7 linked regions of the Sus scrofa genome follow. The protein of the gene in region 4 interacts with the protein of the main gene of each other region in a pairwise test. Links are inferred from orthologs where the notes say so. Each region holds a gene or a part of one and is shown on either strand. Other genes may lie near its edges.

Region 1 (4,063 bases), on a different chromosome or scaffold from region 4:
GGCCCCAAGGTCAAGAGCTGAGCTAGGCCCAAGCTCCTTCACTATAGGCCCGTCTACATCCTGGGGATCTTTGGAGGACAAAGGGAAAAAATGGTCAAGCACAAGACAGAGGCAAAGCAGCCTTCAGGCACAGGGCAGGGGCGGGGGTGGGGGCGGGGAGCGGCTACTAAGACCCTGCTTTAGGGAAATCTGCTCAACCTTGTGTTTAGGGCCCACCAGTGGGGGAAACTCTTCAGCGAGAGATATCCACAAAACCTAGTACATATGACTCAGAAACAATGCTGAAGGATTACACCTAAAGGGCTCCGTTAATGTTTACTATGCAAGCAAAGATTGATCCTCTGAATTCTTTCCAGTAAGACCTCAATTGCCTTTAGCTTTTTCAAATTTAAACTAAAACAGTGCTTCTGGCAGTCAGCCACAGGACAGCCTGGCCCAGGACACCTAGACCTCCAACAGTCCTGGGTTCACTGTAGCCACCGGCAATCTCTACCCGCAAAGGAAGTCTCGGCCTGTGAACCTCCTCTCACTAAGATGCCAAGAGACCACTGACGAACCAGCCCAACTTCGACCAAGCAGGGCTGTGCCTTGGTGATTTCATGTTTCCTTTGCAGGAGGACATGGTGGAGCCCACACCGTAGCGTGGCAATGCAGCATGACGCCCTACCGACCTCCTGGGGTACAGGATGGGCTCAGGACAGAGCCATTCATTAGACTGGGAAGGCTATCCTCTATCCAGCCCATTTGAAGGATTCTGACACACTGTGTTGACCGCAAATCAAAGACTCACTTCTCAGCCTCAGTTCAAGATCCTCTCACTGTCTGGTCCAATCTCACTTTCTGCCTGGATTTCTTATTCTCTTAAACACCACACTCTATAGAAACCAATGATCTAAACTCTCCCTGCTCCATGCCTTTGCTCATGCTGTTCTCTTCACCTCAATGCCCTTTCTGCACCCCAGCAGCTTCAATCCGGTTCTCTAATTCAATGTCTCTGTGACCTTTCCCGAAACCCCGCTCCACCCTCTCAGACCCCAGGTCTCTGCCCACCCAACCCCGCTGAGAGTCTTCTCTATTGACCCCCTCTGCCATGTGAGAGAGGACTGTGTTTATCTTACACTTAAGCTGCCTTATCCTACGCTTGGCTATAAGTTAGTACAACTCTGTATTGAAAAACAGGTGGAGCTCACCTTCCTACAAACACCCACCATGCTCTCCCAGGGCCCAGGAGCTCTGAGTGCAAAGCAACCTTCCTTAAGCAGCCTACCATCTGGCAGAGGCTTGCCAACCTAAACAGTGAAAACCTTCTATTGTACAGGATTTTCCTGTCCCTGTCCCTGGCCAAACAGAGTCCTGAGCCTCATCTTATCTGGAGATGAGTGCTTTAGGAATTGCCCCCATCCTATTCCCACTGGGAATGGGATTAGCTTTGGTTTATGTAACTTTGCAGCTGCGACCTGAATGAGCAGGGCAGGGCACTTAGCCTGGGATTGTTCAAATGGATATGTCAGCTGCGGTGGTCCCCTCCTCTCTGAGAGCTAAATTCATCTCTTGCAAACGTTCTAGGGAGACAGTCCAATTCAAAGTCAGCCTTCTCCTGGCCAGAAGCCTGCAAGGGTAGTCCTGTAACATTCCTCGGGTGTTTACCAATCTGTGAGAGACACATTCTTCTGCTCGTGTCACAGGTCACTGAAAAAACATTCGGACACATATATCTAACTATTCTCTAACAATGGTTATGAAAGGAACCTGGACCTCAGACTCCAAACGTTTTCTCCTCACTCATCTCTCTGTCCTGACTGCCCAGCCCCTGCCCTGCCAAGCTGGATGTGGGATGGGCAGGACGCTTCTGCCAGGAGAACATGCAATCTTCCGGGGAAACACAGCAAGAGGAATCATGGAGCAGCGGGAAACAACACTCTCCCTCTGATCCCCTTTCAGCAGCTTCTCCCAAGGCCCTCCCCTAGCCTGCCCAGCTCTCCTCTTCCTCCTGCAGGCCCTCAGGAGGTGTTCCAGCTTTCCCGAAGCATCTTCAGCATGAGCCCGGCTCCCACAGTGGGCTGACGGGATCCAAATATTTCCAAGCAGCATGTCATTCCTAGGAAGTGCCCCTCCCTGGGCCCTGCTCTGCTGGGGCCCCCACCCTACAGATTAACCAAGAGTGGACCTGTCTTCCGCCAGCCAGGCAGGAAGAGCCCCTGCCATGGATCCCTGGGGCCTGCCCCCCTCACGGCCGTCAGAAACACTCTGGTCTCCATGAGGAGGAGCCAGGAGACCCTGGCCCACGTCTTGGTCCCAGGAGTGGGCGCACAGCAGAGCCCGGGGGGCTTGGCCTGTCCCGTGGTCTTACCTCATCCCACTCCGAGGCAAAGGAAGGCGACTTCTCCAGCCTCTTCTTGCCGATGCTGCAGTTGGATAAGGACTCGCTCCGGCTCCCCATCGTCGCGTCCTCTGTGGGTGAGCAGGTCAGCAGATCAGAGTCAGACTTGGACAAGCTGCGGCTGAGTTTGAGCTCCGCTTTGGGTCTGCTGGTGGGAGGGGCTCGGCTTCTGGCCCCGCTCCGGTCTCCTTCTTCCTCGGCACCGCCAGGGCGCGTTGATGCCGTGCGAGGCAGAGTTTCGGGATGTGTCTGGCGGTGGGTGGTGGGCAGACTCGTGGGGTAGCCCGCTCTCTTGCTCTGGTCCAGCACACGGGCCGGGGAGGCCCCGGCAGCAGGCACGCCCGTCTCCTCCAGCTGCATGCTGGCCCCGGGGCAGGCGCCCTGTGCGGGGGACCCTTCTGAATGGCTCTGGCCAGGGGCTGAGAGCAGCTGGAAAGGGTCCTGCCCCACCTCGCACACGGGGGAGGAGCCGTGGAGGAGACCTGAGAACTGCTCAGGGACCTGCCCGTCCTGGCCCTCCGCAGAGTCCTGGCTCCGGCTGCCGCTGCTCCGCCTGCGGTCTTGGAGTGGACGGAGAGACAGAGAAACACAAAATTAAACGTGGCAAAAATCAACAAAGTTCCAACGCAGCGAGCGTACAGCTGGCCGAGCAGAGGAATTCAGAGGCAGAGGGAAAAGAGAGGCTGGACAGGCTGGGGAGAGGCAGGGGGAGAGAAGAGGACAGAGGAAGGAAGAAAACAGTTTCATATTGTTCTTAATGTCCAATTTGTGCCCAAAGTCAGAGATTTATGAAATTCCAAACACTGGCCTGATAAACGCTAACTGGCAGCGCTCTCGCTGTTAGATTTCTGTTAACGTTAAGGACTAGACCTTGCTATAAAAGGCGAGAAGAGGTGCTAACTGCATCCTCCACAAGTGAGGGGAGAGAGAGTGAGTTCAAAGCGAGAGAGAGAAAGTGAGAGAGGGAGGGGGCGGGAGGGCGCCAGCCAGCAAGCACGAGGCGCGAGACTCACTCCTGGAACATCTGATACATTTCCATGAAGGCCAAGTGGTATTTAGAGCCGCCCGCCCGCCCTCCCTTCCTCTGGCAAGCGGCACCAGAGAGAAAAAAAATGGAAGTCATGGTCCACAACCTGCGCTTCTGGAATTCCTTAACCCAATGTGCAAAACAAAACAGAGAGAAACAACTGCTTCCTTCCTCAGACGGGGGCGATTCCAAGTTCCACGCCTCATCCTTCCTTCCTCAGGGAGCACAGGCTTCTCTCTCTTTTTTTTTTTTTGGAGAATGTGCACATCTCACTCCTTTCAAAGCCTCCCAGCTGCTCCTATTTGTTTAAGTTTAACTTTAGTTGATCCACTGAAATCAAAATGGTCTGATCTGTCAGTGCCAAGAGACACGTGCAGTTCTCTCAGGCCATCCTCATCTCCCAGCTACCACTGTCCCCTCATCCAAGGTATCAAACGCCTCTGCCCTGAACAAGCATAAATAACTGACCAAATCAGAGTCCAACATCAGTATCACCCCGGGACACCCAAGGGCTCGCTGTGCATTGACTCCCAGACCCACTAGAGATTTAAACCCACGTCAGCAGGCTAGGTAACAACCCTGCATCCAGCACGAGCACACACTCCAACAAGACTAATAATCAACTGTACTTTCTCTGAAAGTGGAATCTCTGGGAT
Region 2 (4,499 bases), on a different chromosome or scaffold from region 4:
ATTTCTGCATCACCAGCTTATGGGAATTACACATTATTTACACTTGGACATTCCTCACATGCACTTCTTACTATAAATTATCGAAGGACAAAATCTATGGTTCTCAGCTTTGCTCCCCCCCGTGTTAGCACAGTGCCTGCCTTGTCCGTGCTAACCTCTCAAATGGAGGTGCCAACTTAAAGACAGGCTTTCTCAGGATATTTTTGGTAGGTTTGGCCATTAAGTCATAACTTAGTTTCTTCAGCCATTTTACCAATAAAAATATTTTACTTATATTTTGGTGTCTAATTAATCTAGTCTTTTATTTCACTTAGTGAGCGTGTGTGTGTACACATATGAATATTTCATATAAACCTGTCCTAATTGCAGCGGTTCTCTTCCGCTGAAATGATGTCCGAGAAAAGTCTCCTGAATATACTTGGTCTCTCAAGTCGCTTTTCGAGTAAGCAAACTCTCCTCCACTCATGCCATCAAAAAAACGAAAATTTGTAAGAGCCACAAAAATAAAACAAATATTCCCGGCTACCTTGCTAGAGAATAGCAAAAATTCTGTGGTACTCCTGGATTGCTGCAGGGTAAGTAACAAAGTGCAAAGTAAAGACAGAATAGAAAAAGATGGAAATATGCTGTGGGAGTGCCCCAAAGTAACACGGACCTAAAAAAGCTTGTCCTTGACACAGGCATCCTGATGCATCTTCCTTGACAACAGAGAAGATGCTCTCAAGAGCCATTACCATACGCACTGAAGCCCACCACCACTTTCAAGACAGCAAAATTTTTTTGAATATAAGCAATTCAGGGCAGAAAGTTTCTCTGAGTGCCTCCTTTACAGCAGGCAGGGAATGGCAGCTAAGACATAGATGACCCTAAAATCTCACCCACATAAAGCCAATAACCTCAACAGAAGTTTCCTCCACTCTGTACACTCTCTGCATTGCTTTCTTTGCCCCTTTACCAGCTTTCTCCACCAGCCACGATTTTGTTCAGATCATCTGCTATTGGTGTTGAAAAAATAGGTGAAAGGAAAAAAAAAAACAACAAAAAACAAACCTCCTGCCCCACCAATTCGATGGGGCAAGGAAGAGAAGATTGGGACAAGAGGAATGTCCCCCTCTATTCCATCTTGAAATATCGCCAATCTAGCATGACTGTCTTTCAAAGGCCACCTAAAATACTACATGGAACGAATACATCAAAAATCGCCAAGGCCCCCTGTAAACGTGGCCCATAAGAAAAGAGGCAAATGCATCAGATGTTTCATTATTTTATTAGTAGAAATGACTCTTTGCAGTATCAAAACACTTAAAAACACTCCAGAAGATAATGCTGGCATTGAGATTTTAAAAACTTATCTTACCGATCGAAAGACCCATACAATGACAAAGCTAAAAACGTTCTCTCTCACTAATAAGAGTGAATCACAGCAGGCACCCTACTCCACCCAACAGCCACCCACGCTAAGACTGGACAGTTCAAAACCTGCAAAGTCCTCCTTGCCTCCTCCACACCAGATACGAATTCACTTCAACACATTCGTGTTTCAGCGTAGCTATGTCATAGCAAGGAAACGCTGTCAGGTACTGAAATTTGGCAGGACATTCGATTTAGCGGTGCTCTTTTCACTTTTACCAAATTCCCCCCTTTCCCCGTTTTTAACAAGGAAAAAGCTCAACAGATACTCTTGCTTGAAAAATGAAGCACCCATTCAGATTTTCGTAAAGTTCCACGACTAGGTTTGGAAAGAAAACCAAGCCTTGCTCACACACGTATCGAACAGGAGCCCGGCACCTTCTTTCAAAGGAAGCCTGACGCCTATGAATTGATTAACTACATTTAAAGGGTTCCCAGGTTTCCTCTGTAAGCTTGAACACGATGCTCAGTCTTGTACAAACCCACTCGCGTGTTTCAAAGTTACAATGGTGGGGAAGCAACCCAGCATCTAAGAAAAACCTACTTACCACTGGGGCGGGGAGAAGCAGCTTCTGGATCTCAAGAACTGAAATAACACAGCGAGCAGGCCAAGGCTATAACCTCCTCAAACCCTCGACGTCGGCAGACAATCGGGAAAGGCCCGGCCCGACTCGGTCCCCGTGAAATTCTCAAGGGAGGGCCTTACACAAAGGGGCCCCGGCGCCCCGGGACGCACGGCTCCCCGGCTCCCGCCGCCCGGCCTCCCGCCCCCGGAGGGTCGCACACTCACCAGGACCGTGGTGCAGATGGACCGCAGCTCGGACTCCACTTTCTCCCGATAGTCCTTAATCAGCTGCAACTTCTTGTCGGAGGTGTCGGTCTTCTGCTCGATGCTCGAGATGACCCTCCAGGCGGACCTGCGGCCCCCGACCACGTTCTTGTAGGCCACCGAGAGCAGGTTGCGCTCCTCGTTGGACAGCTCGGCGCCCTGCTCCGTCACGGCCTTCATGCAGGTGGCCATGTCGTCGTAGCGCTCGGCCTGCTCGGCCAGCTTCGCCTTCTGGATCAGCTCCGTCTTCTCCATGGGGCCGGGGACAGGGCAGCGAGGGCGAGCACCGACCCGGACAGCGAGCAGGCGTGCGGCGGGCCTGCGGGAGGGCGGGGGCAGGAGGGCGGGGGCGGCGCCGTCAGACAATGCGCCCGCCGCCCGGCCGCCCGCCCGCGGCGCCTTTTGTCTGTCCCCGCACGCGCGGCCCAGTTGAATTTCCCTCCCCCGCCCACGCTCCCCACGGGGCGCCCGGGAGGCCCGGGGGGCGCCCGCCCAGGCGGCCCCGGGCGGGAGAAGGAGGAGGAGGAGGAAGGGCCGCTCCCGCGCCCGCCCGGCCCAAGATGGAAGCGGCCGTTGGCCCGCACCTTCCCGCCGGAGCCGCCCCTGAGGAGAGCGGCGTCGAGGCCAGCGGCCGCTCCCCCCGGGGCTGGCCTCCCGCCCGGCTCTCAGGCCCGGCCAGGCCCGAGGAAGGCCGGGGGCGACCCTGGCGCTCACCTTCACGTCTCCGCGGCCGCGGCGCGAGTCCCACCACTTTGATCGGCTTTTGGCTTTAGCCGAGGACCCTCCCGTCTCAGCCTACCTCGGAGCCGAGAGGCGGGCCGCCGCGCGGCTGCCCTCGCTCCCGCCGCCCAATGGCGCGCCGAGAGGTCCCCTAGGGTCCCGCCTCCCGCTCCGCCTCTGGCCAATGAGCACTGAGCGCGCGGAAGGGGGCGAAGGGGGCGGGGCGGGAGGGGAAGCGGAGGCTAGGAGGGTGGGTCGGCTTGGGCAAGTTCGGTTGGCTCGCAGGCTGCGGCTTCGGCCACGGGGTTTCCTCCAATTAGATCCAGGGTAAAAGGACGTCACTGTTGCCATGGCGATGCTGTTACCAACTCCCCTCATCCTCCCCGCCACCCCCAGCCCTCGTGGGTGCGGCACGGGAGCGGGCGGTTCGCACGACCTCTCCTGCAGTGGCCGGGTCTCCTGCTGCAGCACCGCTGCAGATGGGGCATTGCATCTTGTGGGCTAATTAATGCAGCTGCGGCTCTCCTGAGCCCCGGTGAGGTCGGGCCTGGGAGGGTGATACCATCGGCTGTTTGTTGCACAAATGCCTTTCTTTCCTCCACCTTCCTATTCGTGACAAACGTTTGAAGCTCAGTACACAGAACCCAGCCTTTAATGACGTTGCGATGGGGACTGCGAATTAGATATAATCCCATCCCCATTAAAGAGGAATTCGTTTCTGGAGAAAGCGGCTTAAGCAAGGGTCTTACACGAGAAATTCATTTTCAGACGGGTACCTAAACCCTGAAGTTCCCTTGGAAAATACCAAAAAAAAAGTCCAGACAGGTCTCTCTGGCGATGCCAGATGTTGCGATTTTCTTTAAAATGGGAAATGACATGATTAAGGATAATCTGAAGAAACACACTCTTCCCCCAACTGTTTTTATATTTCTTTTCAGCATTCCCAGGTCATGTGTCTAAATTCATATTTTTCCCATCATTGTGGTCTTACATGTACATGCTTTTTATTTTCTGGTATTAATTTTGAAAGGACGCTTGCAAAGCTCAACTTCCCTCTCTAGATGTTGACTTCTGACTTTCTCCTTGTGAACACCCTTCTGGCATGAGAATGATCTGCCCAAATGCCTTTTATCCAGGGTCATGGCTATCCCTTTCCTTTCGCTTCAAACTGGGCACTCCCCTCCAGCCACTCCCTTCTCTCCTGGCACTCCCTGAATAAGGTGCTGTCCTGAGTGTCTGGGCTCAGGCTACCATGATTCCAGGTCCAGCCCAACACAGGGAAAATGGATCATTGAAAGTGAAGAAAGCCACTGCTGAGAAAGAATTTCAGATTCCAAGTAGAGCCTGGAACAGACTTGAAGACTCTAGAATGGAAGATCTGAGGGCCAACAGATGGCCGGAGAAGGTTTGGACTTTCCAGAAATCTAAACTCCCTCCCAGCTGCCCCTCCCAGTCCTGACTCGCAAAGGTTGCTTTGTGCTTTGACCGACAGGAGAGGCCTGGGCTGGAAAGAGCTTGTGTGTGTCTTAAAGCAGAAATA
Region 3 (4,714 bases), about 130 Mb from region 4:
GACCGAGGTGGCAGATCTGAAGTTTTTTCTCTGCTAAATTCAATGCTCCGAGTACTTATTCTGTGTTGATCACTTTAGAGAACTATAACAAACTGGACAAATACAAATTGGTAAAATACAAGACAGTATGTCATGTTAAGTGGCAGCTTAATTCTTATGTGCAATAAATGCTAGAGACTTCAGAGGAAGAACTCAATTCAAGGCTGAAATGAAGTTTTCCAAGAAAAAGCACCTCAACAGCTGCTGACTTATTTTCTCTCTCCTGGGCCCCTCACTTCCTGGTCAATTCTTTTTTTTTTCGGTCTTTTTAGGGCCATACAAGCAGCACATGAAGGTTCCCAGGCTAGGGACTGAATCAGAGCTGTAGCCACTGGCCTACACCACAGCTCACAGCAACGTCGAATCCTTAACCCACTGAGTGAGGCCAGGAATTGAATCTGCGTCCTCGTGGATACTAGTCAGATTCGCTTCCTCTGAGCCATGATGGGAACTCCATCCAAGGCCACGTAGTTTTTAACATGCTGTACTAGAACTCAAACTTGTCTTTCTTTTTATCTAAACCCTATATACTAGTATACCCTATATACCTTTTTTTTTTTTTTTTTTTTTTTTTTTTTTTGCTTTCTACGGCCACAGCTGTGGCATATGGAGGTTCCCAGGCCAGGGGCTGGAACTCCAGAATACTTCTAATTTCTCCCACTCTAAACTATTGGAATAATTTTTCTAAAACCACTATCTATAGATATATGCTATCTATATAATGGTTTTAGAAAAACTATTCATATACTATATGTATATAGTGGTTTTAGAAAAACGATTGACACTCTATTATATGTATATATATGTGTATACATACACACACACACATATACATATGGCTTAAAACCCTTCAACAACTTCCTATGCCTACTTCAAGCAATACATCCCCTCCTCCATCTGGTTTTATCTACTTGCCACTACAGGTCTCTTAGAGAACAGTCAGTCAACTCATTACCTAAGAAACACCAAGCATGAGGCACCCACCATGGACCTTTGCTCAAGGACAATCCTCCCTGGTAGGCAGTATGTCCCTGTCTCTCTCAAAATAAGGTCACAGCTCCACTCTCAAACATGAGGTCTTTCCTTGGGGGCAGTCACTCCCTCATCAGTTAGATCTTAGGGATCATTCTCTCTCTAACTTCTGTAAAAGGAACAGATGTAAATACCAAATACTTTTTTTTTCCCTTTCTTTTTTCGCTGCCCTGTGGCATATGGAGTTCCCAGGCCAGGGATCAGATTTGAGTCGCAGTTGCAGCAACACCAGATCCTTAACCCACAGTGCCTGGCCAGGGATTGAACCTATGTCCAGTGCTCCCAAGAGGCCACCGATTCTGTCATGCCACAGCAGGAACTACCCAAACACTTCTGTTTAATATTTTGGGTACCCCATGTCCTATATGCAGCTATATTGCGTACTGATTTCTTTTGTCTGCCATCATGCTTCTCTGTTAGATACTACAAGTTATAGACATCTTTCACCTGTATTATCTCATTTGATTCTCCCCCAAATCCTAATATTTCAGGTGAAGAAAGGGAAGCTTAGTGAGGTTAACTGACTTGTCAGTCTTCATACAGTTTGAAACTAGCAGAGCTATGTCAAAGCCCAAATCTTATGATTCCCCAAATCCAGGTTCTTCCAATAATGCACCAATGCCGTATACTTTTCAGTAATCACTGCCTTTGAAGACTGTCCACACTTCATGTTTGCCTACCATGTGTTACACACAGAGAAGTCTGAAAGCTGTTTTCAATTAAAGTAAACAATCCTGATTTTTCACTCTATTAAAATAAAGACCCCCTGTGTAACATTCCTTATCAAACTGGCCCAGGGCCCTAAAATGAGAGAATTGGAAGGAACCTTAGGGTGGATGAAGACTAACTCCCTCATTTTACAAATGAGGAAACAAGACACAGGGAAAACAAGCATATTTCAAGGTCACACAGCTAATTAGACGCAGGCCCAGTACTAGGACCCAGATCTCTACACAATTGTTACTTTCAAAATGCTATGCAAAGGGCAGGAAGGGCCTACCCCGAGAAGAAGTTTCCTTTTTTTTTTTTTTTTTTAATTTTTTTTTTTTTAAGCCCTTGTTGCTAAGACTGCATTTAAAAAAGAATAAAGCAAGAAAGAGAGAAACAGAGAAAGACTGGATGGGCGGGGCGGGGGGAGAGAAGAGTGAACAGGCAGCAAGCTCAAGAATCTGATTCACCTAAGGCACTTGGTGGCAGGAAGAGAGGGGAAAGGGTAGGGGGTTGGGTGAAAAAGGCGAGAGAAAAAAGATAAATCTTAAAAGCTTCCTGTCAGCATGTAGGTCAAGTTCAGTATTCGGGGTATCACAACAAAACGCCTAGAAACTTTAGTAAGCAAAAGGCCAAAGGCACTCTAGAATCAGTAGCAAAACTCAAGTGTGGCGGGGAGTTTGGACACCACTGACTTCAAACAGCTGCCTTCATTTAGTCGAGATTCAGCTTTCCCTGTCGGTGAAACGGGCACACTGAACAGTGGCCCCGAGTACCACCGAGGAAAAGCGAGGGCCGCAGGAAATGTGGAAATAATCAAATTATCCTAAGTAGCAGCAGTGGCCGAGGTTAAGGACCAAAAAGGAATGAAGTCCTAAAGAGGAGAGAGCCCGAGTCTGAGGTGCGTAGAGAGCTGAATACAAGGGCCCGTAGGGTCCCCGAGGTGGGCCAAACGAGGACTCCCCTAGAGAAGCCGCATAAGAAAAGGGGGGAGAGGATGGTGGGCTCGCCGCCTCCCAGGAGTCCCCAGGCCTCGGCTGTCCCCAAAATCCGACTCCTCACCTTGTCCAACAAGCCGCTACGGCTACTGCCCGTCCCGCAGCTGGGACCGCCGCCAGCCCCACTACTGCCTCCGCCACCACCGGATCTCCCACCCTGAGCAGCCGCCGCCGCCATCTTTCCTGCCTGTGCGTCTCCCTCCCCTCCTACTTGTCCGAAGCTGATTGGCTGGAACTGGCGGCGTGGCGTGCCGCGCGGAGTACATCGGGACCCGTAGTTCAGGGCTGGCTGACGCGAGGTTGCCAGCGGAAGTGGCCGCGGGGCTTGCTGGGACTTGTAGTAATCAGAAGCTCCAGCCATCGGTTGCCGCCTACTCGGCCAGCCAACGCGTCGCGGTTACTAAGGGTTGGAGAAGGTAGTGGTAAGCGCCACCGTGGAGCTACTCCGAGATCCCCGGGAGGCTCGCCGAGCTGCCCGCCTGACCGGGACGTCGCCCCCGCGGAAACCTCGGAGGCGGAAGCGACGCCGGAGGCAGGTGCGGCTGGAAACTTAGTTTCATATGTAGAGTTTCCCAAAGAAGCGAAGGAGCTTGTCTTTAATCCTTTTCTACCCCTGTTACTGCCCTTACCGGTTCTTTGGTGACTGTCATCTTAGCTGTTAGTATTGTTTTCGTATTTTAGGGAACTCACATTCATTGTCTTCTATCTGCATTTGTAGCCATGCTCTCATTTAGTCCCGTAACAGACCAGTCAGAGGAGGATACTAAGAAACTTAAGGCCAGAGAGCATGTATCAGAACCTAGTTTAGAAGCCGGGTTTTTTTGTTTTGTTTTGTTTTTGTTTTTTACATCAAACCCGTGTTATACTCCCTTTGCCATTGACTGGGGTCCTTGAACCCTCTAATCAATAGAAAATGGTAAGAGGCCAGATGAGAAATTCAGGTGAGGCTTTATTGGGACTCCTGCTTTAATGCTATGGAGCAAAAATAAGAAACAGGTGCTCCCTGAGGGAAGGAGGCAAGCTGGTCCCTTAAATGAGATGAAAGAAGGGGAGGAAGGGATGGCTCAGGTGGTCTGCCTACTGCCTTGGTGGTGCTGGGATTATGCCCAGTACCCTCCTCACTCTTGGCACCTCAGAAGTGGCAGTTGGCTTATGGCCTTTTTGTGTTTTATTGTTCATAATTTGCCTCAACTGTGCTTGCATGCAATTATGTTTTGTTCCTTCTTGTTTCTTTGTATTTTGTTGCTCAAGGCGATGTCTGTCCAGGTGCAGGCACTCCAGTAAAGGATCCCAGATCCCAGCCTAACTCACCTTTGCCACTCTGCTTTTACAGCTTTAGGACACAATAATATTATAGATTTTTATTGCTTTTGTTTACACAAGTATTTGTTGAGCACCAACATCACTGGAAACTGTACCGAGGAATCCTAGGGGATCCTGTCCCCTACTTTCATGGAACTCCTACTCTAATGACCTAGAGTTATCATATAACAGGTCTTAATACACTATGATTTAGTACACTGCATTATTAGTTGTTTGTTTTGTCCCCATGAATTCCTCATATGTGTCCAAATGACTGAACAAATGGAGTACATACTCTGGAGTGGTCACTGTTCTGGTCATGAGGGACAGATCGCTGAGTAACAGGCAAAATACCTGTTTTCATGAAGCCAACACTCATGTGGTCATCATTATTACTAAAGTACTAGGTGCAATTTCTTCACTTCTGTGAAGCAATCCAGTCAGATGCCCCTGTAGCTTTTTGTTCATCTTTTATAATTTATTGTGTTTCAAAACCCAGTTCTAATGTCACTTGCCCTGTGAAACCTTCCCTGACCCTTACTTCGCCCCTCTTTGCAGGCAGGATGAAGAGCTCCATAGATAGCATTGTGGGCACGATTCCATTTAGTTCAGTAAACAATCACTTGAGCCTCTTC
Region 4 (4,063 bases):
TATGCCCCAGGAACGGCACTAGAAAAAGGCAAAAAGACCAAAAAAAAAAAAAAAAAAATCTTGTCTTTTTTTTTTTTCTTTGGCCGTGCCCTCAGCATGTGGAAAGTCCCAGGCCAGTGATTCAACCAGCACCAGAGCAACAACACTGGATCCTTAACCCACTGTGCACAGGAGAAATCCTTATACTCATTTTTCATCAAAACAAAGGGATCAGACGAAGCCTCTTACCCCTCCAGAACGTTGCACTTCTCCACACATTCCTTGCCGCGGCTAAAGTTTCGACAGGACATGCAGTCTCTGGGTTCAGGGCCCCAGCAGCCCTCTGATGAGCACAGCGGGTTACAGATGTGGCCCATGGCTTCTGCAAAGACAGGGGCAGCCCCACAAGTCAGCCAGGAGCATCGGCCACAGGGGCCTGTGGGTGCGGGGCACACACACTGCTGGGCCCCCAAAGCAGCAGTGACCTAATAGGGCTTCGGGGTGGGGTGGGGGGCTCTGCCAGGGGCTGAAGGTTCCCAGAGGCTCATCAGAGCTGACGAGCCCCGGGAGGGTGCACAGGGGCGCAGAGCCAGAGCACTGGGGGTGGGAGTCACTGTTCTCTCCATTGCACGGGGAGGAAGCCAAGGCCCCGAGACCTCAGTACACTGGCGAGGAAGGGCTGGAGCAGGACATAAGCAAGGGGCCGCTTTCGCCAATGGCCAAGGTCTCGTGCAGAGGGCAATGGTGCAGGCCCAGCCTCAGGAGCCAACTCCGCCTGTGAGTGCGTGTGTGTGTGTGTGTGTGTGTGTGTGTGTGTGTGGCTAGCTACAGTCACCATGGACAAAATGAGCAGAGGGAACGCACAGCTAAAATACAACACGACCAACACTAAATTTAGTTCTGCGCATTACCAATAACACTAGCCCGGACTTTGAGGCAGGTTCATCCTATGGAATGAGAAGGATCTGGAAAGAATTCTGATGAACTTCACAATTAAGAATGTCCAGATTTCTTTTCACTTGCTTCTCTGGGGATGTAAAAGTCATTTAAATGTTTGAGAATGGCCCCTCGATATTCTAAATCAAGACGAATGACCCACTGGAACCCTGTCCACAGTCAACCAGAGTGGTTACTCACTGCACTCTTTTTCGCTCCTGTTGTTTATAATTTTGGTTTTCTGACTTGCGGTCCCAAATAGTTTTTTCCAGCTGATTGTATTTGCATAGCACAGGTTTCGGTTTCCTGAGACGATCACGTCTCCGTCGCTGATCTCCTTGAGGGAGCGCAGCCCCAAGGACGCTATGTCCAGGCCAACAACCGCGAGGGAAAACTGACCACTGAGGTGGAGAGAGGAGAGCAAACACGGAGGACAATTAGCACAACAGAGCGTCACCAAGGCGCCGTTCTCTGCACCACTGCGGGTTTACTACAGACGCCCTCCAGGAAGCACGTCATGCCGCAGGCAGGTACAAGGCAACTTCGGAGAATTCCGAGTGTTTTTTAAGCTTCTCCGGGGAAAAGCTAGTTCCTAGTTCATTTCGTGTCTCTAATCCCAGTGGTAGTCTGAGGGCTGAAGAAGTGTCTTAATGTCATTATTTTATTTACTGCTTTTTGATTTTGCCTGTGAATTGAGAATGTGTTCTAATTGCTAAAACATCCAGGAGTTCCCGACATGGCGCAGTGGAAGCGAATCCTACTGGTATCCATGAGGATGTGAGTTCGATCCTTGGCCTTACTCAGTGGGTTAAGGATCTGGAGTTGCCGTGAGCTGTGGTGTAGGTCACAGATGTGGCTCAGATCCTATGTTGCTGTGGCTGTGGTGTAGGCCGATGGCTACAGCTCCAAGACCCCTAGCCCAGGAACCTCCATAAGCCGCGGGTACGGCCCTAAAAAGCAAAAAAAAAAAAAAAAAAAATCCAAATACACTTCAAATGATGATAGATTCATCCGCTCACACATCCACCCATCCATTTATAAGGCAAAGATACTGAGGCAACATGTGGCCCATCCTGTCTGCCTCTGGGTTAAGTGCACGTCTGCTCCTCTCAAAACCCCTCTGTCTAGTGATGGCGCATTCACCTGGGCAAATACCTGCAACCCAGCACCAGGGGTGGTGACGAGGGCTCCACAGAGGCGGGGCAGGTCTGATGAGGGAGCCCGGGAGAGGGGCCCAGGACCAGGAGCTGGCAGGTTCTCCTCATCCCCAGCCCCGTGCCAGGGTCCTGACAGTGATCAGCACGGGCCCCTGAGTTCCCGGACACGTCACTCAGACTAAAGGGAGGGAAGCCCCTGGACGCAGGAGGCAGGAAGGCACACGAGAGCCAAGAGCTCCCGCTGGGGCGGGAACGCGGAGGCGGGAGCCCCAGGAACAGGGCCTGTGAGGGGCAGGGACGCCGCGTGGAGGAGCCTGGGGTCTGCAGGGAGCAACCACAGGAAGGGGTTGCATTTTTAGGAAGCCCGCCAGCCACCAAGAGCTGCACACCAGTCACCCAAGAAAGTCGACCAAAGCGCTCGTCTCTGCATGAACTTTGGCCAGTGAAGTATTTCTGAGAACTCGGAGCAAAGGCGCCTCTCTGGGAAACGCCATGAGCTGCTTGTTTAGCATCAGAGACGCAAAGCTGAGACAGTTTTTGGAAAGCAGTGCTTATTTTACGTGTATCATCTTCCAATTTTCTGAGTGTTGCATAATGTTCTGCTGTCCAGTTAGGAGTCAATGATGGAAAGCTGTTCTCGGAACCAGGCTATTTCCAAGGCAAATTTGAACAAGAGTGCAAACTTCTCCTCACCACAAACCCATCACTACCTTTATTACGTTAAAGATGCATGTGCGCGCGCACGTGTGTGTGCGCGCACGCGCACGTATTTCACAGGTGGAGCTAGAAAAGTGGAAATCCTGAAAGAAACTCTCAGTTGCTAAAAAGCTTCTCAGTTCCACCTAAAATGACGCGCTGATAAGGAAGGACATGTCACCCCAGGCTGTTCTTGGCAAAAGTGTGAAACCTCAACTGAATCAGAAGAAAACATCGGCCATTCCAGAAACGCCTCACCAGTACTTGAGGGACAAGGCCGACAGCGGACCTGTCACTGACTGCAGAGGACCTGTCACTGACTGCATGACAGCCCCATGCAGTGGGGGACACGGGCTGACACAGAACACACAGGCACTCATGGAAAAACTGGTGAGATGCTAGAAAGTCTGCATTTGGGTTACTGCTGATTTGTGCCAAGGGGACGCAGGGTGTCACCCTCCAGGGAGCTGGGGAAACTCGCTGTGAGCTTTATTTCAAAATAAAGTAAGAAAGAACCTACCAGCTGAGATCTACTTACTGTTGCTTCGTCCTGCCACGTATGATTTCCAGGTTCTCAAAAGCATGGAGGCCAGTCCTGTTTTCAGGCCAGGCCTGAATCAGTAAAAACCCTGTAAGGCAGGAGAAAGATGCAGGCCATTTAGCAATTCCCTTTTCCTAAGAAACACTGTCACAGGATTCTCGGGAGGCTGTCCAGGAGCAGACGGCGAATGTTTTGTTCTCCTCATCCTCCTCACTAAGCACTTGCAGACACACACACACACACACACACACACACACACACAGAGCCACACGCACCAGGCACCCTTTACAACAAGCCCCCTGCTGCCCTGGGCTAGAGCCCGACTCGCCCCGCAGGCTGTACCCACGGTGGGAGCTCCCCTCTTGAGACCCCAAACAGGCCGCTGCTCTCTAAGGCAGGGGCCAGTTCTGAGCTTTAGCGCCACAAGGAGACTGACGTGAAATCTCTATCTGGTTCCAATTCTCAAGCCAATCCTGTTATAAAGTCCAGTTACACCTTTTTTAGGGATGAAGAAAGTGGAGCTGCCGGGCCCCGGGCCCAAGGCCGGTGTTGGGGCAGGACAGGACACGTGTCTCTGGGCTGGGAGCCCGCAGCAGCTCAGTGCCTGGCCCTCCGCCCTCCATCCCGGGCTGTTGACCGGCCACCTGGGCTGGGCGCTGAGACCTCGCACGTCACACCGAGTCCCAGGTGACTCGACTCTGCTTAGAGAGTTTGCCTCCTGAGAGCACGGGGAGCCGCGGTTTTGAAAAATATC
Region 5 (4,583 bases), on a different chromosome or scaffold from region 4:
TGTGTGTGTGTGTGTGTGTGTGTGTGTGTGTGTGTGTGTGTGTGTGTGTCTTTTCCTCAAGCGGGCTCTCTTTCAGACTTCCTTTACTTGCAAACCTGACACCAAAATTCAGACGCATGTCAGACGTGGTGAAAGCCTCTTCCCTGGGACCCCACCCCCACCCCCGGCCACGCAGCAGAAGAAAGACCTAGAAGTCGTTGGGTCTAACCTGACTCCATCCCCATTCCCACTGGCAAAGCCACATCTTCCTTAAGTAGTTTATTTATTTACTTATTTTTGTCTTTTGTCCTTTTAGGGCCGCACCCGCAGTATATGGAGGTTCCCAGGCGAGGGGTCAAATGAGAGCTGCAGCCACAGCTCACAGCCACGCCAGATCTGAGCAGAATCTGCAACCGACACCACAGCTCACAGCCACACCAGGTCCTTAACCCACCGAGCAAGGCCAGGGATCGAACCCACAACCTCATGGATCCTAGTCGGATTCGTTTCCGCTGCGCCACAACGGGAATTCCATCTTAAGTAGTTTATAAGCCTCAGTAAAGCGCTTTCATAAGTGGCGGATATTTCCTTAGCAAGTTGCCTCTGAAATAGGAAACGCAGAGGAGCGTGATAACATGGTAACTGAGTGTGGCTTTTGGAAGGTGTTTGCCTGGGTCTGAATGGCAGCTGAAACCTCTGAGCCTCAGTTTCTTTGTCTGTGAAATGGGGAGTACCCATCCCCACCCCGTACAGATAACATGAGAAGGAAGCAGGCCAGACCCTGGGGCACAGCTGGTGCGGACACCTGCCACTGTTCTCCCGGGGAAGGGCGGCTCTAACGCTGCCCAGTTTTCTGTCTCCTTCCTTATCTGCCAACAGGTCTGAGTAGTGGCAAAGGGCAACCTTTCTTCTCTCGAGCGCCTCAAAATATTTAATGCAAGATCCCTCTGTCTTCTTTAAGTCAACTTTTCATAAGAGGCCGGCTTACAAAAATATTTCAACTTTGGCAGCCTCTCAAGAAAGCCTCCCCAGTTTGCCTTCCCACCAGGAGACCCACGGTAAATAGAAAGGGTGTCACTTTTCCCCCACCTGGTCCTCAATCCCACTCACAGGGAGCAACCAGCGAGTAACCCTTGCCAGATTCACTGGCATGCATGGCAGTTCAGCCCAGAGCCCAGCCCCATCCTGTCCATTCACCAAATTTGTACGGATCACCCACCAAGTGCCAGCACACAGCCCCTGGGGCCAGGGAGGACTCCCAAGCTCCTGAAGGGCAGATGTTTGCCATGAGAAAACACCCAGGCTGGAAGGCAGGTGCTCCTGCAGCCAGGGCCCAGCCCGGGGGGGCACTGCTGGCTCCCACCCAGAAGCAGAGGAGGTGGGCCCACCCTTCAGTTTCTCCCTTGTGTCTCCCAGGACCCTCTACGGGCAGCGCTGCCCGCCCACAACACACCCTCTGTGGGATAAACTTCCTTCTCTGCCTGCCTGTCCCCCCTCCCCCCGGATTTCCTCCCTGAGGCACAAGGTCACTCCCTGGGAGACCAAGAGCAGCCACAAGGATAGTCTCTCTCGCAAGAAGTGACCCTGCCGGCCCGCCCCCCCCACCCCCCGCAAGCACTTCAGCCCACCATGAACATCTGGAGGCCAGAGGTGAGCGCAGCAGTGAACACTCAGCACCTGGTCCCCAAATCCCTCAGGGAAGAAATTCCAGCCTGCCCTGAGAGGACAGCACCTCCAGCCTGCTGAGCTTCTGGGAGCAGTGGGGAGGCATGGGGTGGGGGGCTGGGGGGAGGCCAAGGAGAAGGGAGCCACTGTCCCCGCTGGGTTCCACGTCTGTGCAAGGCTCTCCCAGTGCCAACCCTACAGGAACTGAGCGTGAGAGGGAGGCGACCTGTTTAAGGCCACGGGTTCAGGATCAGGATCAGTTCCCCTTCCAACAACCTCTCACCGAGTGGGTTGCCGTGTTCACCAGAGCCGGGTGTACGGACCTCTGGGGGTAGGAGCCCAGGTGACGCCCTCTCAGCTGGGTGGGCCTAACCATCCACTCACACCCAGGGGCAGGGGTGCCCCCGCCTCCGGGGAGCTGAGCCACCCAGCCTCCTGCCTAGACCCAGATTTGATTAGATCACAACTGTTTGCAGAATTTGCACAACACTCTGGGGCCTGTGAGAGCAGATAAAACGCCTGCCTCGTGGTTGCTGGTGGGGCAATGGACTGCAACTTTCTCTAAGTGTGTTCCCCACTTCAGGGACTGAGGCCACCAAGCACTGTGGGTCCCTTCAGGCTCTGCGATGGTCCCCACTCCTTTAGACGAGCCGGCGGGGGCGGGAGTGAATGGGGCGCGCGCAGTGGGAGGTGGGGGGCAACTCCATCTAGTCTTTTGAAAAGAGTGAAACCAGCACCTGCGCTGCGCAGGGCAGGGCGCAGCTGCCACGGGCGGGCCCCCGAGGCCCGACGGTCCCCACCCTGCCCGCGGGCGCGTTCCCCCAGGGCAGAAGGGCGGGGGCTGCAAGAGGCTCCCACCCCCGCCGGACAACAAGCGTCAGTGCGCGCAGAATGGCCCATTGTTCCGCCTCGGGACCCGCAGGCGGTGGGGGGCGCCGGGCCGTCCCGGGACAGGGGCACGTGGGGGCCCTTTGTGTCCGGGGAACCCGGAGCGGGGAGGAGCCCCGCGCCTCCTGGAAAGAAACCCGCGCGGCCACTTGGCCCCACTCCTCGGCCTGCGCGGGCCCCGGCCGCCCGGTGTCGCGTCTACCCTCCCCTGCAGCCTCCCGAGAGGTGGCGGGACAAGAAGGCCGGGGGCGTCCAGCGCGCGCGGAGCCGGGGCGCGCAGAGGAGCCAGGGCGCTCGGGGGTAGGGGCGGAGGTTGCAGCGGAGCCCAGCGGGGTGGCCCAGAGGGGCTCGGCGAGACCCCGCGCACTCACCTGGCGGCGGTGGTGGCTGGGCTTTCGGTAGCGGCAGCGACAGCGGGCGGCGCTCTGGAAGCGGGGCTGGGCTCGTCCGGCCCGCGCGCCGTTTTGTTCCGCTCCCGGGGGGCGTGTCCCGGCCACGCCAACCAGTGGGCTTTGCACACTGCACCACACCAGCGCCGATGTCACCACACCGGGGCTGATGTCACCGCATCGGCGCTAAGGTCTTGGCGCAACCCCCCAACCCCCCAGCGGGGTCCCCAGGCCCGGGGCGACCCGGCTGCGCCCGGGGGACCCCCTGTGCCCCCGCCACGGAGGAAGCCGCGTCTCGCACGTGCCCGGAACTTCTCAGGGTTTCCTGGCGGCCGGATGCGAGAGGGTGGAGACACAAGTCTGAGAGCTAAGACTTCTGATAAAACCTGCGCCACAAGAGAAGGGGCGGGCGTGGATGGCGGTGGGGACGGTGGTGGGGTCTCACTTGTTCTGGCGGCAGGGTGGCAAGGACACATCTGAGCACCAGGGTAAGAGAGGCCTGAGTTCGGATCCCGCCCCTTCCGTGTACTAGCTGTTGCCCTGGCCTAGATTCCAAATCACCCCCCACCCCCGCCCACAGGCTCCGCATCTGTGAAGGAGCTGTAATCCACAGGGAAGGGGTGTGTTTTGGGGGGAGACGGGGCAGATCTTCTAAGCCTTCTACGCCCTCAGCAGTGGCCCTCGGTGAGTGTAACGCCCTCCTCCAGCAGCTCTTCCTTCTGGGCTTCCCCAATCTCCCCTGCTCTCCAAAGGAGGCTGCCCCACCCCTCCCCCAGAACAGCAGCTCTGAAAAGTGGGTGCCGCCCTCAGCAGCTCCCAGCCCTTCCTGTGCCTGCAGCAGCGGGCATCTCAGAGGTCAGAGCCGCCCGCTCCCTGCAGAGCTGTTCCTGGGTCAGGATAGAACCTCCACCTCTGTCCTGGGCAGAACAGCCCAGAAACCTGGGGCTCTGGAGGGAGAGGGAGTCACCCCCTGGCAGAGGGGTCCTGGTGGGGGGCAGAGCGAGCCCAGCTCTAAAGGAAGGTGCCGGAGTTCCCCTCGTGGCTCAGTGGTTAACAAATCCAACTAGGAACCATGAGGTGGCAGGTTCGATCCCTGGCCTTGCTCAGTGGGTTAAGGATCCGGCATTGCCGTGAGCTGTGGTGTGGGTAGCAGACGTGGCTCAGATCCCGCGTGGCTGTGGCTCTGGTGTAGGCCAGTGGCTACAGCTCCAATGAGACCCCTAGCCTGGGAAACTCCATATGCCACGGGAGTGGCCCTAGAAATGGCAAAAAGACGAGGAAAAAAAAAAAAGAAAAGAAAAAAATAAAAGAAGGTGCCATCTGCTCCCCCAAGTCCTGTTCGGAGGAACACGGAGACCTGAGAGAGACTGAGAACTTAGGGAGACAAAGCACTTCTTTGGGTCCGCGGTGTCGTAGCTCATTCACTGCATTTCCAGGTCGAATGGCACCCTTTGCACTGGGAGCACACCGAGTGGGGTGCAAACCACACTCAGACCTCGGCGCACATTTCGCTGTGCTGTGCCTGCTCCCCGGGTGCCCTGCTGTTTGCCCTCATGGGCTCCAGTGTCTCTGAGAAGGAAGCCTCCTCTCGCCCATGGCTGTGGCCCCGGGGGCAGGTCTTGGAGGGCTGCTGGGCAGCTGGTGGCCCTTCCTCCGGGTCAC
Region 6 (3,607 bases), on a different chromosome or scaffold from region 4:
GATCAAAGTCTCTGGTAGGAGGTGGGGGTTGGAAAATTGCCTGAAGGGAGGGAGTTTCAGCCACAGGACATACCCCAGGGCTGGAGACCCCGGGGGGCTCAAGGAATGCAGGCTGTCCCAGGATGGGGGGGTGGGGGGCACATGTCCTCAGGCAGGGATGCTAAAGGGCCAGGACCTGGGGTCCTTGCGGGGGGGGGGGGCGCGGGCTGGAGTTGGGTGGGCTGCTGTCTACACTCCATGCAGAGCTGCTTGGCCCCGCCCCACAGTGAGACAGTACGCGGACATCTGCCTCTTCAGCACGGCCCAGTACAAGTGCCCCGTGGCTCAGCTCGAACAAGAGTGAGTAGCAGAAGAGCCCTGGGTCCCCCTGGTCAGGGGGGAAGAGGGGCCCCGGAGTGTGAGGAAGGCGGGAGTCCTTCCCCGCTGTCTCCGCTTCCAAGCACATTCCCTCCCGTTGGGGGCTCTGAGCCGCTCATGTTCTGGAGCGGGTTGAGCCCGTGACCCAAGGCCAAAGGGAGAAGGGGCCGGTGATGGGGCAGAAGCCGCTTGGGGGTGGGAGCCACCCCCTCCGCCCGCCTGGCCCTTCCCAGAGTTTCCTTCTCGTGTCCCCCTGCCCCAGTGACCAGGTGTCGCCCAGTTCCACGTTCTGTAAGGTGTACACCATAACCCCCCTGCTCAGCAACAACCGAGAGAAGCGCGGTCTCGCCCTGGACGGGAAGCTCAAGCATGAGGACACCAACCTGGCGTCCAGCACCATGTGAGGGGACGAGGGGGTGGGGGTGGGGGGTCCTACAGCACAGGAGACACTCATTCCGTGCCAGCCGTGTGCCAGGCTCTGTCCCCGGGGCCACGGCCCCATCAGGGAGCAGAACAGACCCAAAAGATCTCTTACGTTCTCAGGGAGGAGGCCAGGCAAACCAGATAAATGGCAAAATATACAGCATGTTTAGTGCCAGCTGTTGAGAAAAAGGCAGGCAGAGAAGGGAGGTATCAAGGGGGGGGTGACTTTACAGAGGGTGGCCAGAAAAGGCAAAATCCAGAGGCGACTTGGAGTAAGGACACAAAGGCAGCAGGGCTGCAGAGGTGTCAGGCGAGAGGGCCCCTGTCTTTGGAGCAGGTACAGCTGCACAGAGTGGGGGCGGATTTCACCCCCGGGCCCTGCGCCCTGTGCCTGACCACACACGGCAGGCCAGCGTGGGAGCAGGAGGTGCGGTCAGAGGGCTGAGGGAAAGCAGGTCAGTGCAGGGCTGATGGGTCCCAAGGACGTGGGCTGTGACCGAGAGAGCGAGACGAAGATGGATGGGGTACGTTACACGGCAACAGCCCGTGCTGCTGGAGCCGGGGATTCCTGCTCAGAATCCCCGTGGAGGCCCCCAGGGTGGGCTAGGGTGCGAGGAGGCCGTGGGCTCTGGTCCAACTCCCCCCCCCGCCTCCCCCCCGCAGCGTGAAGGAGGGTGCCAACAAGGAGGTGCTGGGAATCCTCGTGTCCTACAGGGTCAAGGTGAAGCTGGTGGTGTCTCGAGGCGGGTGAGTGCTGCGGGTGGGAGCCTGGGGGTCGGGGGCTCTGCACGGGCCTCTCTTCATGCCGCCTCTCCCCCCCCTCAGAGATGTCTCCGTGGAGCTGCCTTTTGTTCTCATGCACCCCAAGCCCCAGGAGCACATCACCCTCCCCAGACCCCAGTCAGGTGAGCCTGCCACCCGCCCCAGCCCCCAGAGAGCGGGCCCGAAGCAGGGCCAGTGGAGACAAGGCGGGTCCTTTCAGCACCCACCCACCCCCCCTCCTTCCTTCTCCCCTCAGCTGCGCCAGAAACAGACGTCCCGGTGGACACCAACCTCATTGAATTTGATACCAAGTAAGACACGCCTCGGCCCCAGCTCTGACGCCCCTTGGTCGGAGATGCCTTACATTCACATCTACCCATTTTTTCCTCTTGTGGGGGGGGTGGTCGAAGCATCCAAGCGAGATGAGGCAGCCTTGCGAGCTGCCCATGGCCACCTCTTCCGGGTCCCTTCCTGCCAACACCTCCAGTCCCATTGCTGCTCTAACGCCTCTGTCTCTGGGGGGGTGGGGGTGGAGAAGAGGGTCAGGAGCCCTCGCCTCACCCCCTCCCTCCACACCAAGCTATGCCACGGACGACGACATCGTGTTCGAGGACTTTGCCCGGCTCCGGCTGAAGGGGATGAAGGACGAGGACGGCGAAGACCAGTTCTGCTAGGCGGCGGCGGCAGCGGGGGGCGGCTGGCAGAAGGGAGTGGATGGTGCTGGGAGAGGGAGGGGCAGGACCGAGACCCCGCTGGCACCGGGGGCTCCAGCCTCTCTTCCCCTGCCCTCCCCTCTCCCTGGGCGGCTGCCGCGACCAGCCCGCCTCCCCCTCCCCACCAGAGACGCACTGGACCCATCTCTTGGGGAACATGGGCATTAATCTTTCCACGACAGCTGGGCTTCCCCAACCCCGCAGCGGGTGGCACGCTGTGTTCATACCTAAGTTTTGTGGAGGGGCCACTGGAGAGGCGTGACAGCAGGGAAAGGGGGAGGACGAGCTCCCACATTCAACCTCACCCCGACACCCCTGCCTGTCACCACCTCTGCCTCCCATTCCTTCAGGATGAGACCCTCTGGGGGGCAAGGCCACTTTGTTTCTGAGGCTAAAGAAGAAAATAAACCTTTTAATAGGCACGCGCGTGTGTGTGTTTTCTACGGCACGTTTAAGGAGGACTTCGTGTGCTCGTCCACGACTGTCCATTGTGCCCCATCCCTTCTCTGTCCCCACATGTCACCAGGCCCCCAGGCTGTCAGTACACGTTTCCTGAATGGCTGAGCTGTACCTGAGTTCCACGGTAAACATGGAAACTTGATGTGGTCAGTCCAAACTCAAGGGCACAATGTGGTAAGCCACAAAGTAAACTCATTCATTCACAGAGGGAGTAATAGCTCACGTTCCTGCAGATGGGATGCTCTTGGGACTGGGCAGGGCAGGCCCTTCCCCGTCGCGGCTGACACACATGACTGCGTGGTGACTTGTGACCGAGTGTTTGTTTCCACTGCTCCTTCTGGTCGATCAAGCGGTCCATTCCTGGGGCTTGGTGGAACCGCAGCTGCGGGCCTCAGCGGCAGAAGCCACCTGGCAGACACCTCCCAGGAGCCTGGTCCTTAGACTGCACACAGAAGCCAAAGCTCTGGGCAGCCGAAGGCAGTGGTGCTGCTGTGGACAAGTCCAAGACACTACGTCCTACGCTGCTCCTCTAGTTCATCAGGGACTCCCAGAGGCTTGGCTGAAGCCCCAGACTGGGCTGGCAGGAGTCGAGCGCTACTCCGCTGGCACGCGCACCCCCACCACCGGCTCCACTCCTGCAGGGCACCCTCTCCCCTTTTCCTCCTAAGGCTCATTCATTCCCTCCATGAACAATCCTGATTTAAATCCCTATCATGTGCCAGGCGTAGTATAGGGATGGCAGTGACCAAAGCAAACATGAAGTCATAACACTATCGCTCCAAAACAGAAGGCCAGGAGCTAGGGGATTCTGACCCAGGCTGGAGGTGGTGACCGTCGGGCAGATGAGGAGTCCCGGCACCCCGGCAAGAGGAATAGCACGCGGGAAGGCAGCA
Region 7 (4,063 bases), on a different chromosome or scaffold from region 4:
TATTGAATATTTGATTTGCATGGATTTTCTTTCATCCTGTGGGTTGTCTTGTCTTTTTCCTTTTTTTCTTTATTTTTGGGGCCACGCCTGTGGCACATGGAAGCTCCCAGACTAGGGGTTGAATTGGAGCTGTAGCTTCCAGCCTTCGCCACGGCAGCAATGGGTCTGAGTTGCATCTGTGACCTACATTGCAGCTCTCGGCAACGCTGGATCCTTTAACTGCTGTGCTACACAGGAACTCCCAAGTCTCTTTGTTTTCTTGATATTTTCAGCACAAAACTTAAAACGTTTTTAAATATCCAGTTTCTCTCCTTTTTCTTTTGTTTGAAGTATTTAGGTGTTATATCTAAGAAATTACTGTCAAATCTGGGGTCTTACAGATTTAATTCTGTTTCCTTTTTAGAGGTTTATTGCTTTGGCTGTTAGTTTATGTCAGTGATCCATTTTAAGTTAATGTTTGCGTATGGTGTGAGTTAAGGGCCCAGCTTCATTCCTTTGCTCATGGATGTCCAGTCGTCCCAGCACTATTTGTTGAAGAGACTGTCTTTTCTCCATGGTTGGCACTCTGTTCAGATATTTGACCGTATATGCATGGATTTACTTCTGGGCTCTCAGTCGTATTCCATTGATCTGTATGTCCATTCCTATGTATGTGCCACCCTTCTTGATTACTGCAGCTTTGCAGTAAGCTTTGAAAGAACTTTGTTTTTTCATGTTGTTTTGGGTGTTCTGGATTCCTTGCATTTCCATATGAATTTTAGGATCAGCTTGTCTGGTTCTGCAGGAAAAAAAGGCAGTTGAGATTTTGATAGGGATTGTGTGAATGCTGTAGATCAATGTGCAGAGTATTGTCATCTTAACAACATGAAGTCTTCTGACCCATGTCCATGGAGGTCCATCCATTTATTTTGGGCTTTGATATGTCAACAGTATTTTACAGTGTTCAGCCTACATATCCTACACTTCTTTGAATCTATACCTATGTATTACATCGTTTCTTATCCTATTGTAAGTGGGTATTTTATTTTCAGCTCGTTCATTGCAAGTATACAGACAAGGTTTTGTGTATGGACCCTGCATCCTGCAGCCTTGCTGTAGCTTAACACTCTAGTAGTTTCTTCACTGGTCATGTCATCTGCATGTAGAGGCGGGTTTACATCTTTCTATTCAGTACCTCCTGTGTCATTTTCTTGCCTGATTACTGGTTAGAACCTCCAGCTCAGTGTTGATGGAATAGCAGTGTTGGCAGCCACAGCCTTGTCTTGTTCCTTATCTTAGAGGAAAAATGCTCCATCTTCCTCGTTGAGTGTGATGTTAGCTGTGTATTTGTTATAGATGCTCCTTATCGGGTTGATATACCTAATTTACCGAGTGTTTTTATCATGAAAGATTCTTCGGTTTTGTTAAATGCTTTTTTGTGTCTAAGATAATCATGGTTTTTGTTCTTTGTTCTCTTAATTATTACATTGATTTTTATTTTTTTATTTTTATTTTTTTATGGTCGCATGCACAGCATAGGGAAGTTCCTGTGCCAGGAATGAAATCTGAGCTATACCTGCGGCAACCCTAGATCCTTAACCTGCTGCACTACTGCAGGAACTCCTGATTGATTTTTATATATTGAACTAACCTTGCACTTTGGGATAAATTCCACTTGGTTACGGTGCATAATCAGATTTATTATATGTTACTCAAGACCAACTGTAGGTAAGAGTTTATGGCTTTCTCAGGTCTTTTGAGCCTGAGTACAGGCTCTTTTAGATTCACAAGCCTTTGCTGGAACATTTCAAAGCCCTTGTGGATGTCTCATTTGCCAGATTTTCCTGGGAAGTTTTTGATCACCTTCCTGCTTGCCCTCTCATGGCCTCCTCAGGCAGCAGAGGTGTTAAACAATTAAAAAAAAATTTTTTTTGGCCACTTTCACGCATGCAGAGATTCCCAGGCTAGGGATTGAACCTGCGGTGCAGCTGCAACCAGAGCCACAACAGTGACAAGCCGATCCCCAACTTGCTAAGCCACAGGGAATTCCCTCAAATTTTTAGTTTTTGTTGAAGTATAGTTGACTTAGAATATTATGTTTGTTTCAGATGTACAACATAGTGATTCAGTATTTTTATAAATTACACCCCATTTAAAGTTATTACAAAATAACGGCTTTTTTCCTGTGCTGTACAACATATCCTTGCTGCTTATTTGTTTTCTCCATAGTAGTTGTTTCTCTGAGTTGTTAAACGATTGGCATTGGTTATTTTTGACAAATGCCAGGGTGGAGGTGTGTGGTCCTCAGTGAGTGAGTTCTGAAGTCAGACAAGGAGAAACCTTGTCTCTGGGGTTTTCCAGGGAACTGTCAGACTGGCTGAGTGACGGCAGGTACTTGGGAGGGAGGTATTGCAGGCGCTCCGGCCCCACCTTCTCAGGTTCCCACCATGGAGGACTCAGTACAGTTTGGAGTGTGCACTGGGGAGAGATTGCAGGCTGAATTTGGGTTCAAAGCTCTTTCCTAGATCCTAGAGGAGGTTTGCTCAGACTTAGGGTGGTAGTATTGGAAATGGAAAAGAGCCGTCTGACCTTACCTCATGGAGAAGGAATTGTTACATATGTTTACAGTGTAGTTATGCCATTTATTTCTGAGGACCAAAGTGCCCTTGGTGTTCACAGAAAAGCACCACACAAAAAAGGACACAGGGAGTTCCCGTCGTGGCGCAGTGGTTAACTAATCCGACTAGGAACCATGAGGTTGTGGGTTCGGTCCCTGCCCTTGCTCAGTGGGTTAACGATCCGGCGTTGCCGTGAGCTGTGGTGTAGGTTGCAGACGCGGCTCGGATCCCGAGTTGCTGTGGCTCTGGCGTAGGCCGGAGGCTACAGCTCCGATTGGACCCCTAGCCTGGGAACCTCCATATGCTGCGGGAGCGGCCCAAAGAAATAGCAAAAAGACAAAAAATAAAATAAAATAAAATATGTCTAGTAAATTGGTGCCAAAGTACTTTGAACTTGGTAGTTAATTTTACTCTTTCCGCCCCTTTTCAGGTGGATGCACGGAGCATACCAGTGTTAGCAAAATGGCAAAATTCATATAGCATTAAAGTTGTACTTCAGGAGCTAAGACGTCTAATGATGTCCAAAGAAAATATGAAGCTGCCACAGCCACCAGAAGGACAAACATACAACAATTAATTTTAGTGGATCTGAAACTTGTCTTAAATCAACAACCTTCTACTCATGTTAATGTCTTGATCAAATATCACGATGCAAAATACCCACACATGAAGATAATTCCAGCTGGTGAACATGACCTGGACATTTGTAAGACTATATTTAATATATGTACACCCAGTATGTTTTCGGGTAGCAGGAGGAATATGCAGCACATTTTTCTTTCTTGCTAAGGCACTGTCATTTAAGCCTAACCTGGAGTACTCAAAACAGAGCTCAGGTTTACACGTGAAAGCATGGCAAGAAGTGTCAGAGGGCTGTGGAAGCAGGTGTGTTTCTGAAAAGGAGAAAATCTCAAGAGGGAAGAACTGAAGGGGCGTGCTGTGTCCATCTTGCTTAGTGAAAGAGCTTCGGTTGAAATTGTCTAAAGTAGCAGGTACAATGAATATTGTCACAAAATGTGTTAATTTTTGAAGCGGTATGGGTGCTGACTACTAGTAGTATCAAAAATATGTTCAGGATTGTTTTGATACCTGTATTTATAATAAAAAATGTCGTGGGGGAAGTGGCTGAACTTCTGTTACAAGCTGTTCCTGTGTGTTCCATGTAACAGACGTGGTAAATATTTGTTTACAGTCTTTGTTGGACAAACCATGCATTTATGTTTAAGTGAAATCAACAAAAAGGAAATAGGTGTATGGATATGTGATTTTGAGATTAAAGTTAGTCTTAAATTGTAAATAAAATGTGGAACGTGTCCTCAGAAACTGTGCCATTTCTATTATATTGATGAAGTATGTATATGGTAATTTGCTGAGGTAGCAAAAGTTGGAAATATTGTAGCTTTTCATTTATACACACTGTTTATTATTTATCCTATGTTGTATACGTCTTGTGAGTTGAAATTTAC

The links.
Region 1: the proteins of EGFR (region 4) and ANKS1A interact in binary tests that used the Homo sapiens proteins (3 or more experiments, as listed by UniProt). The link is inferred for Sus scrofa from reciprocal best matches to the Homo sapiens genes EGFR and ANKS1A.
Region 2: the proteins of EGFR (region 4) and YWHAQ interact in binary tests that used the Homo sapiens proteins (3 or more experiments, as listed by UniProt). The link is inferred for Sus scrofa from reciprocal best matches to the Homo sapiens genes EGFR and YWHAQ.
Region 3: the proteins of EGFR (region 4) and SPCS2 interact in a protein complementation assay, tested with the Homo sapiens proteins (2 studies listed by BioGRID and IntAct). The link is inferred for Sus scrofa from reciprocal best matches to the Homo sapiens genes EGFR and SPCS2.
Region 5: the proteins of EGFR (region 4) and CSRP1 interact in a protein complementation assay, tested with the Homo sapiens proteins (2 studies listed by BioGRID and IntAct). The link is inferred for Sus scrofa from reciprocal best matches to the Homo sapiens genes EGFR and CSRP1.
Region 6: the proteins of EGFR (region 4) and ARRB2 interact in a protein complementation assay, tested with the Homo sapiens proteins (3 studies listed by BioGRID and IntAct, with this or other methods). The link is inferred for Sus scrofa from reciprocal best matches to the Homo sapiens genes EGFR and ARRB2.
Region 7: the proteins of EGFR (region 4) and UBE2V2 interact in a protein complementation assay, tested with the Homo sapiens proteins (2 studies listed by BioGRID and IntAct). The link is inferred for Sus scrofa from reciprocal best matches to the Homo sapiens genes EGFR and UBE2V2.

What each region holds. Positions count from the first base shown.
Region 1 is NC_010449.5:30,927,639-30,931,701, reverse strand, and holds part of ANKS1A (ankyrin repeat and SAM domain-containing protein 1A), read right to left. Parts: intron 2,941-4,063; coding exon 2,351-2,940; intron 1-2,350. UniProt on the Homo sapiens protein: Regulator of different signaling pathways. Regulates EPHA8 receptor tyrosine kinase signaling to control cell migration and neurite retraction.
Region 2 is NC_010445.4:126,737,404-126,741,902, reverse strand, and holds the start of YWHAQ (14-3-3 protein theta), read right to left. Parts: upstream 3,109-4,499; 5' UTR 2,954-3,108; intron 2,559-2,953; 5' UTR 2,495-2,558; coding exon 2,201-2,494; intron 1-2,200. UniProt on the Homo sapiens protein: Adapter protein implicated in the regulation of a large spectrum of both general and specialized signaling pathways. Binds to a large number of partners, usually by recognition of a phosphoserine or phosphothreonine motif.
Region 3 is NC_010451.4:9,279,090-9,283,803, reverse strand, and holds the start of SPCS2 (signal peptidase complex subunit 2), read right to left. Parts: upstream 3,288-4,714; 5' UTR 3,139-3,287; coding exon 2,842-3,138; intron 1-2,841. UniProt on the Homo sapiens protein: Component of the signal peptidase complex (SPC) which catalyzes the cleavage of N-terminal signal sequences from nascent proteins as they are translocated into the lumen of the endoplasmic reticulum.
Region 4 is NC_010451.4:139,434,505-139,438,567, reverse strand, and holds part of EGFR (epidermal growth factor receptor precursor), read right to left. Parts: intron 3,398-4,063; coding exon 3,307-3,397; intron 1,317-3,306; coding exon 1,117-1,316; intron 362-1,116; coding exon 229-361; intron 1-228. UniProt on the Homo sapiens protein: Receptor tyrosine kinase binding ligands of the EGF family and activating several signaling cascades to convert extracellular cues into appropriate cellular responses.
Region 5 is NC_010452.4:23,860,802-23,865,384, forward strand, and holds the start of CSRP1 (cysteine and glycine-rich protein 1), read right to left. Parts: upstream 3,220-4,583; 5' UTR 2,904-3,219; intron 1-2,903. UniProt on the Homo sapiens protein: Could play a role in neuronal development.
Region 6 is NC_010454.4:52,160,846-52,164,452, reverse strand, and holds the end of ARRB2 (beta-arrestin-2), read left to right. Parts: coding exon 1-339; intron 340-619; coding exon 620-757; intron 758-1,443; coding exon 1,444-1,527; intron 1,528-1,605; coding exon 1,606-1,685; intron 1,686-1,762; coding exon of another isoform or gene 1,763-1,798; coding exon 1,799-1,853; intron 1,854-2,122; coding exon 2,123-2,216; 3' UTR 2,217-2,677; downstream 2,678-3,607. UniProt on the Homo sapiens protein: Functions in regulating agonist-mediated G-protein coupled receptor (GPCR) signaling by mediating both receptor desensitization and resensitization processes.
Region 7 is NC_010446.5:79,621,200-79,625,262, reverse strand, and holds the end of UBE2V2 (ubiquitin-conjugating enzyme E2 variant 2), read left to right. Parts: intron 1-3,027; coding exon 3,028-3,174; 3' UTR 3,175-3,920; downstream 3,921-4,063. UniProt on the Homo sapiens protein: Has no ubiquitin ligase activity on its own. The UBE2V2/UBE2N heterodimer catalyzes the synthesis of non-canonical poly-ubiquitin chains that are linked through 'Lys-63'. This type of poly-ubiquitination does not lead to protein degradation by the proteasome.